Linked DNA regions of Ovis aries. The protein of the gene in region 3 purifies or fractionates together with the protein of the main gene of each other region. This does not show direct contact. Links are inferred from orthologs where the notes say so. Each region holds a gene or a part of one and is shown on either strand. Other genes may lie near its edges.

Evidence for each region.
Region 1: the proteins of SUGT1 (region 3) and NOD1 purify together in Homo sapiens (affinity purification with western blotting; 3 studies listed by BioGRID and IntAct, with this or other methods). This does not show direct contact. The link is inferred for Ovis aries from reciprocal best matches to the Homo sapiens genes SUGT1 and NOD1.
Region 2: the proteins of SUGT1 (region 3) and RNF41 purify together in Homo sapiens (affinity purification with mass spectrometry; 3 studies listed by BioGRID and IntAct, with this or other methods). This does not show direct contact. The link is inferred for Ovis aries from reciprocal best matches to the Homo sapiens genes SUGT1 and RNF41.

The regions. Positions count from the first base shown.
Region 1 is NC_056057.1:67,354,190-67,359,515, reverse strand, and holds the start of NOD1 (nucleotide-binding oligomerization domain-containing protein 1), read right to left. Parts: upstream 3,562-5,326; 5' UTR 3,086-3,561; intron 1-3,085. UniProt on the Homo sapiens protein: Pattern recognition receptor (PRR) that detects bacterial peptidoglycan fragments and other danger signals and thus participates in both innate and adaptive immune responses.
Region 2 is NC_056056.1:163,320,402-163,325,733, reverse strand, and holds the start of RNF41 (E3 ubiquitin-protein ligase NRDP1), read right to left. Parts: upstream 3,549-5,332; 5' UTR 3,400-3,548; intron 2,906-3,399; exon of another isoform or gene 2,867-2,905; 5' UTR 2,754-2,866; intron 984-2,753; 5' UTR 799-983; intron 1-798. UniProt on the Homo sapiens protein: Acts as E3 ubiquitin-protein ligase and regulates the degradation of target proteins. Polyubiquitinates MYD88. Negatively regulates MYD88-dependent production of pro-inflammatory cytokines.
Region 3 is NC_056063.1:11,515,435-11,520,666, forward strand, and holds part of SUGT1 (protein SGT1 homolog), read right to left. Parts: intron 4,118-5,232; coding exon 4,027-4,117; intron 3,388-4,026; coding exon 3,318-3,387; intron 2,305-3,317; coding exon 2,234-2,304; intron 1-2,233. UniProt on the Homo sapiens protein: May play a role in ubiquitination and subsequent proteasomal degradation of target proteins.

The DNA.
Region 1 (5,326 bases), on a different chromosome or scaffold from region 3:
ATTTAAAGGAAAATGACTGCTCAGCAAAACAAATAACAATGCAACAGATTACTAGAGAGCACTGTAAGTGGAAGTTTAACACAAAATTGCCTTGCTGGTTCTATAGAAGCAGATCCCTTGTTAGGGCATCATGCCCCTTCAGAGGGCCAAGGAAAGACCACCACAGAGTAATAGCATCCTAGACTCAACAGCTCCAGAGGCAGGGAGGGTGACTAAGGGGAGGGAGGGTGGCAAGCTTGTCCTGGCCAACTTTGCATTAAAGTCTCTGCCCACAGTTTGGTCTGTGGTGGGTTTTAGATAAAACACAACAAGAAGAATTCAACCCATAAAGTCTTGCTTTGACAAACTTTCCAGCACTGGGTAAAAAACATTAATTAATTGAAATGGGCAGTGATTACTCATCTCTTACTAGGAGAGCCAAGTTTGGGGGGCGGGGGAAACACGTCACTGAGTAATGACGCACCAAAGAATTTTTCTTGAAACAACCTTCCTTCCTTCTAACTTTGGTCTATAGATGGATGAAAGGAAGCCCTTTGTATGAGATTCAACTGACTCTGCCCAAAAGATAAAAGAAAACAGGACTTTCAGAAACCTCCAAGATACCTAAAAGATGACAAAAATTCAGCAAAAGTATAAATCTTCTCTTTTAAAATTTCATCTTGCCTCAAACCCCCAAAATAGAAGAATCATAGAAGGAACTGGTAATTTAAACTTCAAATCCTAAATTTAAGTCTTAGATACTGAATAAATACTGAACTTTTTTTTATAAAAGGAGACAAGAATTTAAGATTCTTATTAGGCAAGTATCAGGGACAGTGCTGTAAAAGCACTTGATTTTTATATCAACATTAAATCATTATTTATAGTATTTTTACTGTTTAATCTAAAATAAACAGTGCTGCTGTTACTGTCAGAAGATCCACACACACAGTGGAACTAAGGTGAAAGATTCAGGATGCCCCCACTGCCAACTGCAGGATGTAGGTTTTCCCTTCCCCAAATTTCTGACTTCTTGTTCATCTAAGAAGGATTCATTGTCCCTAGGCCAAGAGTTAGTAGCAAAACAGGTACGACTGGGGCACAGCCCAAGGATGCTGACAGCACAAAAGTCACGTGTATGTGCCCATGTCAATTCTGAAACCCTGTAAATGGCCCGGCTACAGGGGAGCTCATATGTATATATGTATATACATATATGCATGTGTGAAAATATATATATATATATATATATATTGCAGTAGAATAGAGGAAGTCTCAAACTTAAGGACCACTTTGTCATTCCTATCACGTGGAGTAAAACTGTATTCCAGAGCCATTAATAAGCCCTACTGAGCAACAGGCTGGTGGCCTGAAATTCCAGACCTTAAACTACACAGTGACCGAGGAGGAGTACAAACCCCTCTCCAGAGCAAGGCAGGAAAAGAAAAAGGGAATGGAGTTTCAAGGGAGACAACTGCTGCACACTCTCTTCACTGCGGCTGTACTAAGTAAACAACTGTTGAACACAAATCACCACTACAGTGGCTAATAACTGCTACTGATGGAGCAGCAACCTGGCCTGCCAGGCATTTGATACACATTATCTCATTCAGGACAGAGCTACTATTTTTCCCACTTCACAAGAAAGAAAATAGGGGTTCAGGGAGATCATGCAAGTATCACAGAAGTGACAGAATCTGAATTTGGGCCAGGGTTTGATGGGCTCCAAAGCTTGAATTTAAACCTCTTCATTATGCAAAACCACAATCCACTCTTCTTGGACCCTCTAGAAGCCCTCTCTTCTCCTAGGCTGTTGTTTATTTCAAATCCACCTTTCTTATTTGCCCCACACATGCAGTAGAAATCTGTGTCTTGTCCAGGGGCCCTGGTTGCTGATATTAGCGCTTTCTGCCCCCAGCACATACCCTTGGGTGCTAAGAGGGTAAATTTTGTGCACTCCTAATATCCAAGTTCCTTGGATACGGAAGTCTCAGATAGGAGGCTTTTAGCAGATACAAACCCGACCCTGCAGCAAGCGCACTTGCTGCTGCTAAGTCGCTTCAGTTGTGGCCGACTCTGTGCGACCCCACAGACGCCAGCCCACCAGGCTCCCCCGTCCCTGGGATTCTCCAGGCAAGAACACTGGGGTGGGCTGCCATTTCCTTCTCCAATTCATGAAAGTGAAAAGTGAAAAGTGAAATTCAAGTCGCTCAGACGTGTCCGACTCTCAGCGACCCCATGGACTGCAGCCTACCAGGCTCCTCTGTCCATGGGATTCTCCAGGCAAGAGTACTGGAGTGGGGTGCCATTGCCTTCTCCGAAGCACACCTAACTTCACCCTTAAAGCAGAAATCCCAGAAGCTGTCAACGGGTTTACTGGCTTCCCTTCATTTAACTTTAAATGACAGTAACAGAGGCATTTCCCAGAAAGCAGAACCAGCGAGGCATCATGATCTGGCAAAGCTTCTGTGTTTCACAATATGCCAAAAGACTGTGTGCATAGCTCAGGCAGTATTCCGGCGAAGCTGCCAAGTCTTGTCTCACTTCCCCTCTCTGCGTCTCGGGAAACCAGAGGGAGGGCCACTGCCCCTTCCCCAGGGCCACGCGGGACACTGGGTACAGCCGGATCTGTCGCAGGCTGGACTCTTATCAAAGCCCCTGCCCGCCTTTCCACCCTCTCTTGGCAACCACTCTGGTCGTTGGTGCTCAACTCTGCCCACACAGTGGAATCAGCTGAGAAGTGTAAACGATACAGACCCCCACCCCCTCCACTGCCCCAGGGGTTCTGATGGATCCAGCCTGGGCATCTGAATTTTACAAGCACCCCAGGTGATTCTACAGTGCAGGCAGGACTGAGATGCTCTGTCTGGACCACCATGGGATAAACGATTCCCCTAACGCTGAAGTTCACCCCCCTGAACTTTCGTGGTTCCACAAACACCGGGTTTCTTCTCCTCCTTGATCCACCCGGAGCTCTTCCAGCGCAGCTTTGAATTCCTCCCGCTCGCAGGACGCCGCCTCTCCGCGCCGCCTCCTCCGCCGCGGCGCCCAGGACCCCCAGAAAACGTGTGCCCCGAGCGACCCACCCCCTGGCGCTGGGACTTACTTGGTAGCCAGGTGTGGAGACCTCGCGGTACTGGGGAGCCAGAGCTGGAGTCGGGTGCGCCGGGAGCGCGCGGGCGGGAACTCGGAGGTTGGGGAGCGCCGACCCCGGAGCGCGCGGCGCGGCAACTTCACCCGCTGCAGGGAAGGAACAGCCGCCGCGCGGGCGGGAACGCGAACTGTCACGGCCGTAACGACGGCCGCGCCCCGAACCTCCGCGGCCTGCGCGAAAAGGCCGAGGCGAGCGAGGCGGACGCGGGCGGCCCGGAGCGGCTGCGCGCAGAAGGTGGCCCTGGGCAGCCTGGAGGGGCAGTCCCTGCCCCAGCAGAGTGGCCAGGCCACTGCGCGGGTAGGCCTGAGAGCTCGCCAGAGGTGACCCAGCGCCTACTGGTGGTGCCAGCTCGGTCCCTTCCGCTGCGAGCTCAGGCCTGTCCCGCTAGAAGTGCTAGCCCGGAGTCCGCAACCAGAGGCAGCTGCTTCAAAGCACGACGGTGGAAACGCCTGTTAGAACACGCGCTCCCGCGTGAAACTCCTGTTAACACGTGACACTTGCTCCCGGATGAAAAGCAGCTCCAAACAATCAAACCTTTACGACAGAGCATATACTTCGATATGGACTTTTAAAAAATCTAAGGTTTTCTTCCTGCCCTTAAATCTCTTCTTGGCGGTGTACATTGTATACTGTTAACACTGTGATGACCTGTCAGGGAGTTTGTAACATGCTAGCTAATACATTTCCCAGTAAGATGTGTTTTTTAAAACATTGTAAATGGAGAAGGTCTACATAAGGCGTAACGATGCTATAAATGAGTTTCACACTGAATAAAATACATTCAATCATGTAACCCCATATGCTCATGAATATTTAGATTTCCAAAAAAGGCTGCCTTCTGAGAAGTTTGTTCATAACTCAAAAGTGAAACTTTGCAAAGGTAACACTGGTGGGAGACGTGCAAACTTGTCAAACCTAATATAGAGACGCTAAAGATACCAATTTTCCTTCACGTAAATTTATCCTTACATGAACTTCCGGTAGAAAAATTGCAAAATTTGTCCTTTCTTCTAGGATTTTGGATTTTATCTTCCATATCTTTTAAATACTCACATTTTCTATATCCTGCTTCTCTGGCTGCACTTTCAGTTAACTTCTTCAGTTCTTTCCATTAATCAATTATTTTTGTGGTTATTTGAATCTGCTGTGTTACTGGTCTTCACTAGGTGGAATAGTCCCTTCAGGCCCCCTATAATGTTCAAGTCCTACACCTGGAACCTATGAATATGGCAAAGGAGAATTAAAGTAGCAGATGGAATTAAGGGTGCAAATCAGCTGACCTTGAGATGGAAAGATTAATCATGGTCTATTGGTATGGGCTGGATGCAATCACAGGAGTCCTTATAAATGGAAGAGGGAGGCCAAGAAGGAGAGCTAAAAGAGAGAGCAACTTGAGAAGGACTGGCTCTGATGTTGCTGGTTTTGAAGAGGAAGAATGGAGCTATGAGCCAAGAAATTGAGAGTGGCTTCTAGAAGCTGCAGAAAACAAGGAAATGGGTTCTCTAGCAGGGCTCCAGAAGGAATACAGTCCTGCTGACACTTTGATTTCAGCCCAGTGAGACCCATTTTAGACTATTGAACTCCAGAACCATAATAAAAACTGTGTTGCTCTAGGCCACTAAATTTGTGGCAACTCATTACAACAGCAATAGGCAACCAATACATCATCCACTTAAGTTCTTAATTTCAACAATATTTATTTTCCAAGAGTATTTTGGTCTTATTTCTAATTTTATTGGGCATGTTTAATAGTCTCCTGTTCTCTGCTGATTCTGCTGCTTCAAAAATTCATTTATAGTTATTTTTACTTTTAATCAAACTTTTTATTTGGGGATAGTTGTAAATTTGCTAGAGTGAAAAAGTTGGCTTAAAACTCAACATTCAGAAAACTAAGATCATGGCTGCTGGTCCCATCTCTTCATGGCAAATAGATGGGGAAACAGTGAGAGACTTTATTTTGAGGGGTCTCCAAAATCACTGCAGATGGTGACTGCAGCCATGAAATTAAAAGACACTTGCTCCTTGGAAGAAAAGCTATGACCAACCTAGACAGCATAAAAGCAGAGACATTACTTTGCTAACAAAGGTCCATCTAGTCAAGTGAAAGTGTATTCAATCAGTCGTGTCTGACTCTCTGCGACCCCATGGACGGCAGCCTGCCAGGTTCCCCCGTCCATGGGGTTTTCCAGGCAA
Region 2 (5,332 bases), on a different chromosome or scaffold from region 3:
CCCTCTCTTACAGAACTGAGCTCTTAGAACTCAGTTTCCTCATTGCCTCTAAGGTTCCATTTAATTCCAGAATTCTGTGATCCAGACTAGATTTAGCACAGGGCATTTTTAAAGTCAGGCTTCTTCAGCACACTTTAATTGGTTAAATTTGAAAGACAATCCAGAGGGGGACTTCCTTGGTGGTCCAGTGGCTAAGACTCCATGCTCCCGATGCAGGGGCCCTGAGTTCAATACCTGGTCTGGGAACTAGATCCCACATACTGCAACTAAGATTCGGCACACCCAAATAAACAAATATTTTTTAAAAATAAATAAATAAAAAAGCATCCAGAGGTCACACAATCCTTCAAAAACTCCCAACTAACAACTCTAACACCTCGAGTGAGGCCCACCAGGCCTCAAAGATCAGCAAGGACCCCCCCACACACACACCTTGGTCATCAGCACCAAGCACTATTTGTGTGGCTACCCCAATCTCATCTTCATGTAACAGACATGTAAAAGAAACAGCAAGCACAATCCTTGTCCTCAAACAAATGTGCAGGCTTGAATTCAATGAGCACACAAGATATAAAACATACAAAAAATAGTAAAATTTAACAATTTATCAACAAGTGAAAGTTAATAGTTCATGTAAGACATAAGTATACAATGAAGAAAAGACTGACGTGGGTTAATCACAGAAAAGTTTATGCATAAAAGAGTTTTGAGAATCAGGTTTTCAAGAGCAGAAGGGATCCAGATTAGCAGAGAAGAGGGTTGAAGCCCAGAAGGGGGTTCTGAATCAATGCTTTTTACCTTCCAAGTGTTGGGGGGCAGGTTCCCTGTTCACAAGGCTCCGACCCCCTGATGCCTCCACTCAGTGCCACTCAGGAGACGCTCCCAGTAACCCATCTTGTTGGCTATTCTCCGACTGAGTCTTCCCTCCTAGTAACAAGCTCCATCGCCAAGGGGATGGATGTGATGTCACAATCGGGAGCACTCTATTAATAGGAACAAGGAAGAAAAAGGTGAGTCAGGAGCACTACCTGCACTTGGCAGTGAAACTAGACAGACTTGGATCTGACGGTTGGTTGAGGAGGACAAGACAACTCCACTGAGAGCTACAGGTTTCAGGGTTAGGCACACAGGCTACTCTGTAAGGAGTGAGGTCATCTGCTAAGGAATCACACACCCGGGCCAAGGGATTCAAACACAGCTGAGGTGGGGAGAGAAAGGGACAAGAAGCAAGGCAGGGAAGAGGAGCTGTTTGAGACAGAAAAGATTATTTTATTCAGTGCATACAACTGCAAGGAATGCCAGCGAATCCAAAGCTGTGGCTACATAACACAGAGAGCCATGATGCCTTACGTGCACAGGATGGTGCTTTAGTGTTTCCAAAGTGCTTTCACAGAAAGTATTTCATATAAAAAGAATTCTGTCCTACTGTCCACTCAGAAAATACTGTTTCACAAGGAGAAGATACTCGAGAATATTGGTGTAGGTGTAATTCTACTTTCAAGTCCGGAAATATTCCTGAAGGGATCAGGCTTTTTTTTAAAAAAATGAAGAGGCAGTCAATCAGGAAATTACTCCAGGACAGACAACTGGGAAGACCAAACTCTCATTACTAAAAGGATGAAACCAAGTAGAGGGAGACAAAGCTTCAGAGGCAGAACAGAAACTACTCAAATTCCTTTCCTCACCTTCACATCGATCAATATTAAGGACTATGTTAGGAAGGATGACAATTTTTATCCGTAAAACAGAGACCATCTCATCCGGAGTCTGGTACATGGGCTCATTAGTTTACTATGCTCAGCAGCCATAACACGTTAGTGCAGTATTTAAAAACTAATCAGAGGATAAAGGTACCAGGCCAGGTCCACTTTCTCCTCACTGTAGTTGGGGGCAGTAGCGGGGAGTTGATAGGTCTCTCCCATCCATAATACAGAGGAGCGTACAATGCTTCTTCCATTTTGACAATACTGTATTTCCCAACAGCCTGGTGTCCACCCTTGAACCCCAAGAAAAGCTTCCAGGAATCAGTGCTATGTTCAGTCTTTTAGAGACAAGTTCCAGGCTAACAGCTGTCCATCCTGGGAAAAAATATCTCCTCTCACAACTCTCTTGACCAGAACAAAACAGGGTTTTTCAACACAAAGGGGCACCTGGAGTCAGGAGACCTGGATTCTGGTCCCTGCTCTGCCAGCTGTCCGACTTTTAACAAGCCATGTATCCCTTCTGCAGTTTTCAGTTTCTTCACCTGTCAAGCAGGGAAAATGATAACTGACTTATCTATCTTACATATTGTCCAGGAAAATCAAATGACATAATAAATATGAAAGCATACTGAATACTACTATTCATACCACTATTAGTACAAACACCATGAGGTATTTGTAGCAATAGAATGCAAAATAAATTTAGAGTTCCGAGGGTCCATGAGGATATACTTGAAAGAAGCTTGTTTCTTCTTTTCTATCCAGGTGCAGCCACAAAGTCGGCTGGACACACAGGGCAGTAACATTATTGCATCACTCAGATTCCCTACCATCCCTATCTGGGGAAAACTAGCAGCCTGCAACAATATCAGCTTCTTGCTCTATTGTCAGACTAAAACCACCTGTACGGGAAGGGATTAGACTATCACAGTCCAGTCCCCAAGAACAGTGGTTCAGTGGTCTCATTAACAGCTGCATTTGCTACTAGATGGAACGAAGTCAGTTTCTGAATGAAGATGCCTGTCAGTCCCTCAAGAGAAACACTCTCACCCCTCTCAGCTTTCTGCTCCTTCTCCAGCTCCCTCCTTCCCAGTCCTCAATTTCCTCTGCGTTCTGGCTTGGAGAAGGCTTTCCGGTGTGTGAAGCCTGTGAAGAGGGACCGGCTGCAAACCCAGGGCAGGGATGTAAGGAATGTGAGATTCCTACATAGAGGGGTGGGAGGGAGAGAGGGGAAGGAATGGAGGAGGAAGACAAGGCTGCCAAAGACAAGGCATGGGAGAGGAGCCAAGCTATGGCGCTTCGAGGGCGGGGGTTCAGGTTCCGCGGCCCCTGCCCAGGCTGGCCCTCAGAATGTTCCCTCCCTCCGCTCCCGGCCTGTCAATCATTGCCTATTTAAACACCACGCTGTTCCCTCAAGTCCCCTCCTCCCTGTCCTCCGGCCAGCCCAGGCCCCCTCCTGCACTTTTTAAGGCTCCCCCATTCCAATGGATCACCCCAACAACCCACCCTCCGGCGCCCCTTTATCACCTCTGGACTCCTCCCTATTGCTGCTCCCTTCCTCCATTTTTCATCTTTACTCTCATCCCTTCTCCTGACCTCCAATATCTCGAACCCCCGCCTCAATCCCCCTGGGACATCGCCCCCTCCCTCCCACACCCTCCCTTTAAGTGGGATCGCGCGCAGGCGCCGTACGCACCGCCCTGGAAGCGGTCTGGACTCTGTACCCGCAGCGGCCGAGAGACAGCCCGAGTGCCGGGTCCCCAGCCTTTTCTGGGAGGGGAAGGGGAAAGGGAAGAAGACGCGAGAGGGTTCCGACCACTCTCCGCCGTGTGGGACGGAACCTTTGCCCCGCCCACCGCTGCTACGCAACCCGGCGGAAGCCCGTCACCAAACTCCGCCTCTTTGTTTAACTCGGTCCTGGACTAGAAACCACGAGCAGCCAACGAGGAGAGTGAAGGCTAGCCAGGCCTCCGCTCTAGACCGGAAGTCTTTATGGTCCCAGGGAGAACTAGATAGCCATTTGGGAGGGAGGACTCTATGTTCTTCCCAGCGTGACCATCAGGGGCTGAGCAGGAGGCCGATTCTCCAGGAGCGCGAGGCTTCGCTTTGGAGGGGTGCACGTGTTCGTGCTCTAAAGCTGATGCGACTTGGTGCGAGATCGTCGATAGTAGGCTGGCCTGCAGTGACCTGCCGTCTCCCCGGCCCCTCTCCCGTTTCCAGAGCCGTGGTCAGCATCCCGGAGCCTCCTGATCTTATGACTCATAGTCATGGGAGTGGATATGTAGTCAACAAGGCGACCACTGGGTGGGGAATGGGGGAGTGTCTGACCGGAAAACTTTGATCTATGGTTGCCCGCTTCCCTCCCAGTCTCACTCCCGCCGTATTTACGTCGGCCTTCGGAGCACTCGTATAGTTGCCTGAAACACACCAGGGGACAGAAGGGAGATAAAAATGTCCCTCTTCCCGGGTTGTGGTTTGCTTTCCTTAAGGTACAACACCGTGGCTGGGGGTGTGGGCGGGAAAGAACTTGAGCTCCGAGGAAAGTCAAGGTGGAGCCTAAAGCCCTCTAGAAGAAGGTAAGGGATTGGTTAAGCAAACCAAGGCATTACAATTGCATGGCCTCTTAGGCTAATCTGATAATAAGCAGTATTTTTTTTTTTTTACCGATGTTCGCTAGGCAAATAGTAACGCACATGTATGTACATTGTTTGTATATATAATTGGTTTATACGGAATACTACAGAGCTAGCTACATTTTGTAGACTATGTATCAAGTCTCAAAGGGAACTAAAGGTTCAGCCCTCTTCTTTTTAGTCCTCAGAATCCTGAGGTCTAGGGATTGAGTACTTCAGGAACAGTTGCCTTTCGGACTGTGAGAGGAACTGGGGCTCTCTGAGCCCCAGATTCCATTATTTCCAAGGGGTAAGGAGTGAGGCTGCCAATTGTCTGTCTCTGGTGTGAATGCTACTTTTTCCAGAGACCTTGACCAAGCTGGTTACTGCATTAAACTTGAGGGCCCCAAGTCAGAAATAACGATGAGGGTTAGAGCAGTTGGAGAAGAGGAGGAGACTGCTTGTTTTGTGCTGGACACTGCTTTTTACATGTGCTAGACACTGCTGCTTCTCGTCTGCAAAATGGAATCACATATTTAAGAACTGTCGAGTAAAAAAGTGAAGTGATGAGCTTGTTTTTTATGCTTTTGTCCGCTGGATTCCAAAAAACCTTTGGTCCTATTTCCACTGTCTCACGACTAGGAGAAAATTTTGGAGAAAGTATCTTGGTTCTTGCGCCTAGTCAAGTGGAGGAAAATTGGGACCTGAGGCGCCCCCTGGTGGTCTTTATTATTCTTTGCGCGGTCAACCCTCCTTTAATACCTAAAATCCCACCCCTTTCGCGGCGCGTGAATCTCGAATCCCGATTGGCCGGGTGGGGACCCGCGGCGGGACGCAGGGGGGGGCGAGCTGGGGCAGTGCTGATTGGCTGGAGGAGGCCGGCCGGGGAAAACTTCCGGGAATGTTCTTACTCCTGCGTTCCATTGGTCCGCATCCGGCGGCCTGGGGACCTTTGGCTCCCCCTGCGGGCGACTCAGCGGCTTGCACAGTCCGGCGGGCTGGGTGGGTGGGTGGTAG
Region 3 (5,232 bases):
TAGTTAGGTTTAATATTTATTTTGTTCATCCCGAAGAATTCTGACTTGTAAAAAATCAGTTTTAACCAGTCAACCTTATTGGTTCCTAGATTCAGTAATCTCCATTTCTCCTCATCCCTTTCCTCTTAAAAGAGCTTCCTCTCACAACAAAATCACACCTGAATCAGATTCCTAATATGCAGTCAGTTGGGGGAGGACCCCAGAAGCCTCTGTCCACCTGCCTGCTGTCTAACGCAGTTGCTTATCCTATCTACTATTTCTTCAGCAGCTTTACTTATCATCATGCCTTCAACAACAAGAACCATCTTTATATTCTGCAGAGTTTTGTATCTCTAAGTATCTCCAAGTTCCTTGACAACCACTGACACTACATACAGTGAATCACAGTTCACTGCACAGACAGCAAGGCAAACATGTACATAAGCAAATTATTTCTGAAGACTCAGGGCAATGACAGTATCTAAAAAGTCATAGCATCTAATAAATTATAATGTTAAGAAAAATTATTAGAAGTGATCATAATAAAAGTTTACTAATTTAAGCTAACTGCAGGTATCGTTATTCTGAAAAACACCAAGTTTAAAATTTCTTAAAATGAAATTTTCTAATTCATTAATTTACAGACAGAATTCAACTATACAGGCCTTAAAATACATACACACACATTTTAGAGGTGAACATTTATATAAAAATTCTAAATGTGAAGAACCGATTATTCAAACTAATCAGTAAATAAGCTGATTCCTATCATATAAAGAGGGAAAAAGGTAATATGGAGTTAAAAATTTTTTACCCTAATAAAACGGAAGCTGAACAGTTTAACATAAGATTTTCCTGGAATTAAAAGATGAATTTGATTTTAAATTAAATATCCTCAACAGAAAGTAAACCAAAGAGCAGACACCCTCTTCTGAGGCCACCTCTGAAATAATTCTAGGATAAAAGTCAGTGGCATGATAATAAAGTATCAAGGAAGGAATTTAGGCAGGGAACTTTCTGTTGCTCTTAAAAAAAAAAAAGAAAAAGAAAAGAAATAGGGCTTAGAAATCTAAACATGAAGTGACTTATGTCTCATCAGGGTTTTCAAGTATGTAACAAGACACCAAGAAAACTGGACTCTAGAATTTGCGAAGTGTATACATGGTAACTTCGTAACTGAATAGCCCTATTATTCACATACCACGCTTGGGATAACCAAGTTTGAGAGTACCTCCTATTGCCTAGATCTCGTCTTTCCTAATTTGTAGGTTTTGTTTGCAAAGTTGGGCTTGTCACCCTTCTCAAGTAGATACACAGCAGAAAAGCAAATATTCAAAGCAGTATATATTTTATTGTATAATCATGTATGACTTTTGTATGAGGGTTTTCAACCTCAGCACTACTGACATCTGGGACCAGATGCTTCTGTTGTGGGCACTGTCTTGTTCAGGATGTTGAACAGCATCCCTCACGAGCTATCAATGATATACCTCCCATCTACCAGTCAAGAGAGTCAAAAATCAGTGCAGACACTCCAAACATCCCCCACAGAGGAAAACCATCCCCAGCTAGGAACTACCACCTTAGAGAACTGTGGTTAACACTCTGTCATAAGAGGGAGATAAAATGAGAGAACACAATTAAGACCATGTTGTCTATAATTATCTACGAGATTACTGACAACATTTTGTATTTTGAAGATTTTTTTTGATACTTGGCTTTTAACAAGTTCTATATATTATACATAGATATCCACACTGTTGGGATAATTTTCATCTATTTTTCTCAAAAAGACAGTTTAGAAATTCACAATATTCTCAAAGTTCCATGTTTCTTCTGTACCCTATCATACTTTACCCAAACTTACACTTCACCTCTCAATAAAAATCTTTCTTCTAAGACTTCCTTATCTCGGCAATCTGAATAACAACTTAAATAGACTTCAGAATGTGAGAGCAAGTTAAACTTCCACTTGTCCATTAGGAAAAACTAAAAAGCCAGACCAGTACTGGGAGGACACCGAGTGTTTAAACAGTTCTTTTGTTTCTAAGTTTTTCTGTGACTTAAATGCTAAGAAAGGCCAATTTAATCAAATTTTAAGTAAACTCAAACTCTGCAATCAACATGAAATGTCATTAAGAGAGAAAAAAGTGTTTCTATGATTAACTTTAGATTATACTAACAAGATTCAGCTATGGTATTTAAGATACACAGATATAATGGACTAGTTTACTAACATAATTATAATACTTACTATTTAATTTCTGTCCTTCTGTAAAAGTTTCTAGAGCAGCAGCATAGTTTTTTTCATGGTATTCACATATCCTGTATGAGCATATTAAAAACAAGCACATACATATAAGATCATGAAACATAGCTTTCTTTCTTAAAAAAAAAGTTTCTCTTCTTTTAAAAGAATTTAACCATGTTAATAAGCCAACAGATGTTCTAAAATACTCTACTGTAACATCTGTGTGTGTGTCAGTCGCTCAGTGGTGTCTGACTCTTTGTGACTCCATGAACTGTAGCCCGCCAGGCTCCTCTGTTCATGGGATTTGCAAGCAGGAATACTGGAGTGGGTTGCTACTTTCTTCTCCAGGGGATCTTCCTCACCCAAGGATTGAACCCAGGCTCCTGCACTGCAGGCAGATTCTTTACCATCTGAGTCACCAGGGTAACATCTAATTCCCATTAAAAATGTGGAACTCATTTCAGAAGGAATTTATTAATTATACATACTTGCTTATTCCAAAATATAGTTACACTAAGGAATTAAAGAAGCTTCCGACTCTTAGAATAAAGTTACACTTATTAATAGAAACAAGCTGGGATATAAAGGACACAGACACAGTCATCTTTAAGTGTAGTCTGTACAGCTTAGGTGAGAAATAGATGTTCTCTAGTCAGTTAAACACAGTAAATTTCAAATGATGACACAAAAAAGGGATTTGAAATCATTCAGTTTCATCTATACCCTGCAGTTACTTCAATCATCACTATTTTAAACTACACACACACATACAAACTGTATCTCATTACATACTGCAGTTAATAAAACAGAAGTATGAAATATACCAAAAATTGAATCCTATCTCAGCTATAAAATGTATAGACACAGAGCTTACTATTTATATAAAGTTCACAGGGAGGGTAAGTTCAGGATGAGGGGACACATGTATACCTATGACTGATTCATACTGATGTATGGCAAAAACCATTACAATATTGTAAAGTAATTATCTTCCAACTAAAATAAATATTTTGGGGGGGGGAACTTACAATAAATTCATTTAACTATATATAGTCCTGACCCCACAGGAAGAGTAGTTGCTGCCTACCCCTTTCTCAGCAGAGCAGTGGAACTATTTGGATTAAGTTCAAGCGATTTTTTTGCATCAGCAACAGCATCTGCAGATGAAAAAGTTTTTTGGTCAGTTACTTATGGATCCTAAGAAATACTACACACAAAATTTGAATTAATTTTTAAGTTTTCAAGCTAGCGAAATGGACAAATGACTTTAAAATAAGAAAAGCTAATCTGAGATAAAATTACCTTCATACATTCCTATTGACCAAATCTTCAACCTCATTTCCTAATGAATAAAGCTCTGTATCACAAAGTCCAGATAATTTCGTTAACATCATTCACATTGTTTGACTCAAGGTATTTACTTTTTCCCTACTCAGATTATCTATCCAGAATAATTAAAATTACAGAATATTGAATACATTTTTTCATAAAAAATAGAAGAGAATTCATTCAAATGCTCTGTAAATTAGTAAATGTGATGCTATCCTTTATTAGCACATCCAAAACCAAAAATGAAATCTTACAAATTCTACACCCACTGCGGAAAGAATGGACAACTGTAAAATTTAAATGAGTGATGCGCAACATAATGCTTGTCATATTTTGGCTACTTCACCTTGCATGAAAGATCAAGTTAAAAGTCCTGGAAGATAACCTCTATTTTATTTGATTCACTGTATCTTGGGCAAAGTGTGTAAGTTACTTATGGAGACAATATACTTTGTAAGGAAAGTTACCACTGTAATTCCCAAGAAGAATGTGACAGTAAGCTCTTTGACAGTAATACTGTGCATCATCTGGTTTCTGCTCCAAAGCCTTAGTCAGCTCCTACAAATACAAACATGCTGAGTGTCAGTAAATGTTTTTTAAAAGTCACTGAACTCTAATTAAACATGATCTTTAATAAAATAACCTATTATCACAAGCTATTTGGAGGAAAGATAACAGGGAAACAAGCTTGGAGCCTTTCTATGCAAGAGGATCAATATCCCCTCTTCTCCCCTTGAAGGTCCACAATCGAATGTAATATCTATGCAAAGCACTTAGCAGTTTCCAGCCTACAGTAAGAACTCAATAAATGGTAATTATTATCACCTCATTTATTCTGAAGAGCTTAGTTGATATACATTGACCATCACTGATTTTCTCCTTCTAATGTGGAGAAGATTCAAAGACCATGTAGAATTTAAGATCCCTAGAAAACGTGAAGCTGTCCAATAATTTTTAAGAACTGAAAGTTAAATCTAGAGCTCAGGAGGTTAATGGAACCAATAAATACATAAGCAAGCTTACCTGGCCCTCTCCTATCCTCTTGTCAAAGGCCTAAGAAATTACAACATTCTGTCAAAAGCCCAGCCAGATACAGTATCTCATAGGTAGCTACTATCAACCGATCAAGAATTAACAGAACAATTAAAACTTTTGCCACTCTGGGCAGTCACAGTATGTGTTAGCTGGAACAATAATGATGCGAGAAGAGAGAGCATGATCAGTGAGGCCAAGGACAAAAGCAGGCAGACAGGAAGGCTCTGATCCAGCAGCCATATACCCACACATCCTAGGGATTCTGGCAGCTTTCTTAGAAGCAGAATTACTTCAACAGCCACACATGGGGCTCTGCTTAAACCCTGTAGCGTGATTCTCGCAAAGCAATGTATATTATACTTGGTAATTATACACCTACAATCCAATATACCTAAAATCTAAACCAATGTTTTACCATCTTAACCCGTATCACCCTGATTCAAGCAGTAATGAAAACTAGATCTTGTTACTATATCTCTGTTCAAAACTCTCCGATGCCTTACCAGCTGACTCAGAGCAAAGGCCCAAGTGCTCCAATGATCGGTTAAGGCCCTCCTTGACGGAACCCTCCGGTCTCTTATCTCTTTAAAACTCTTCTCCTTGTTCCACAATGGCCTTCTCATTGTTCCTCAAACATC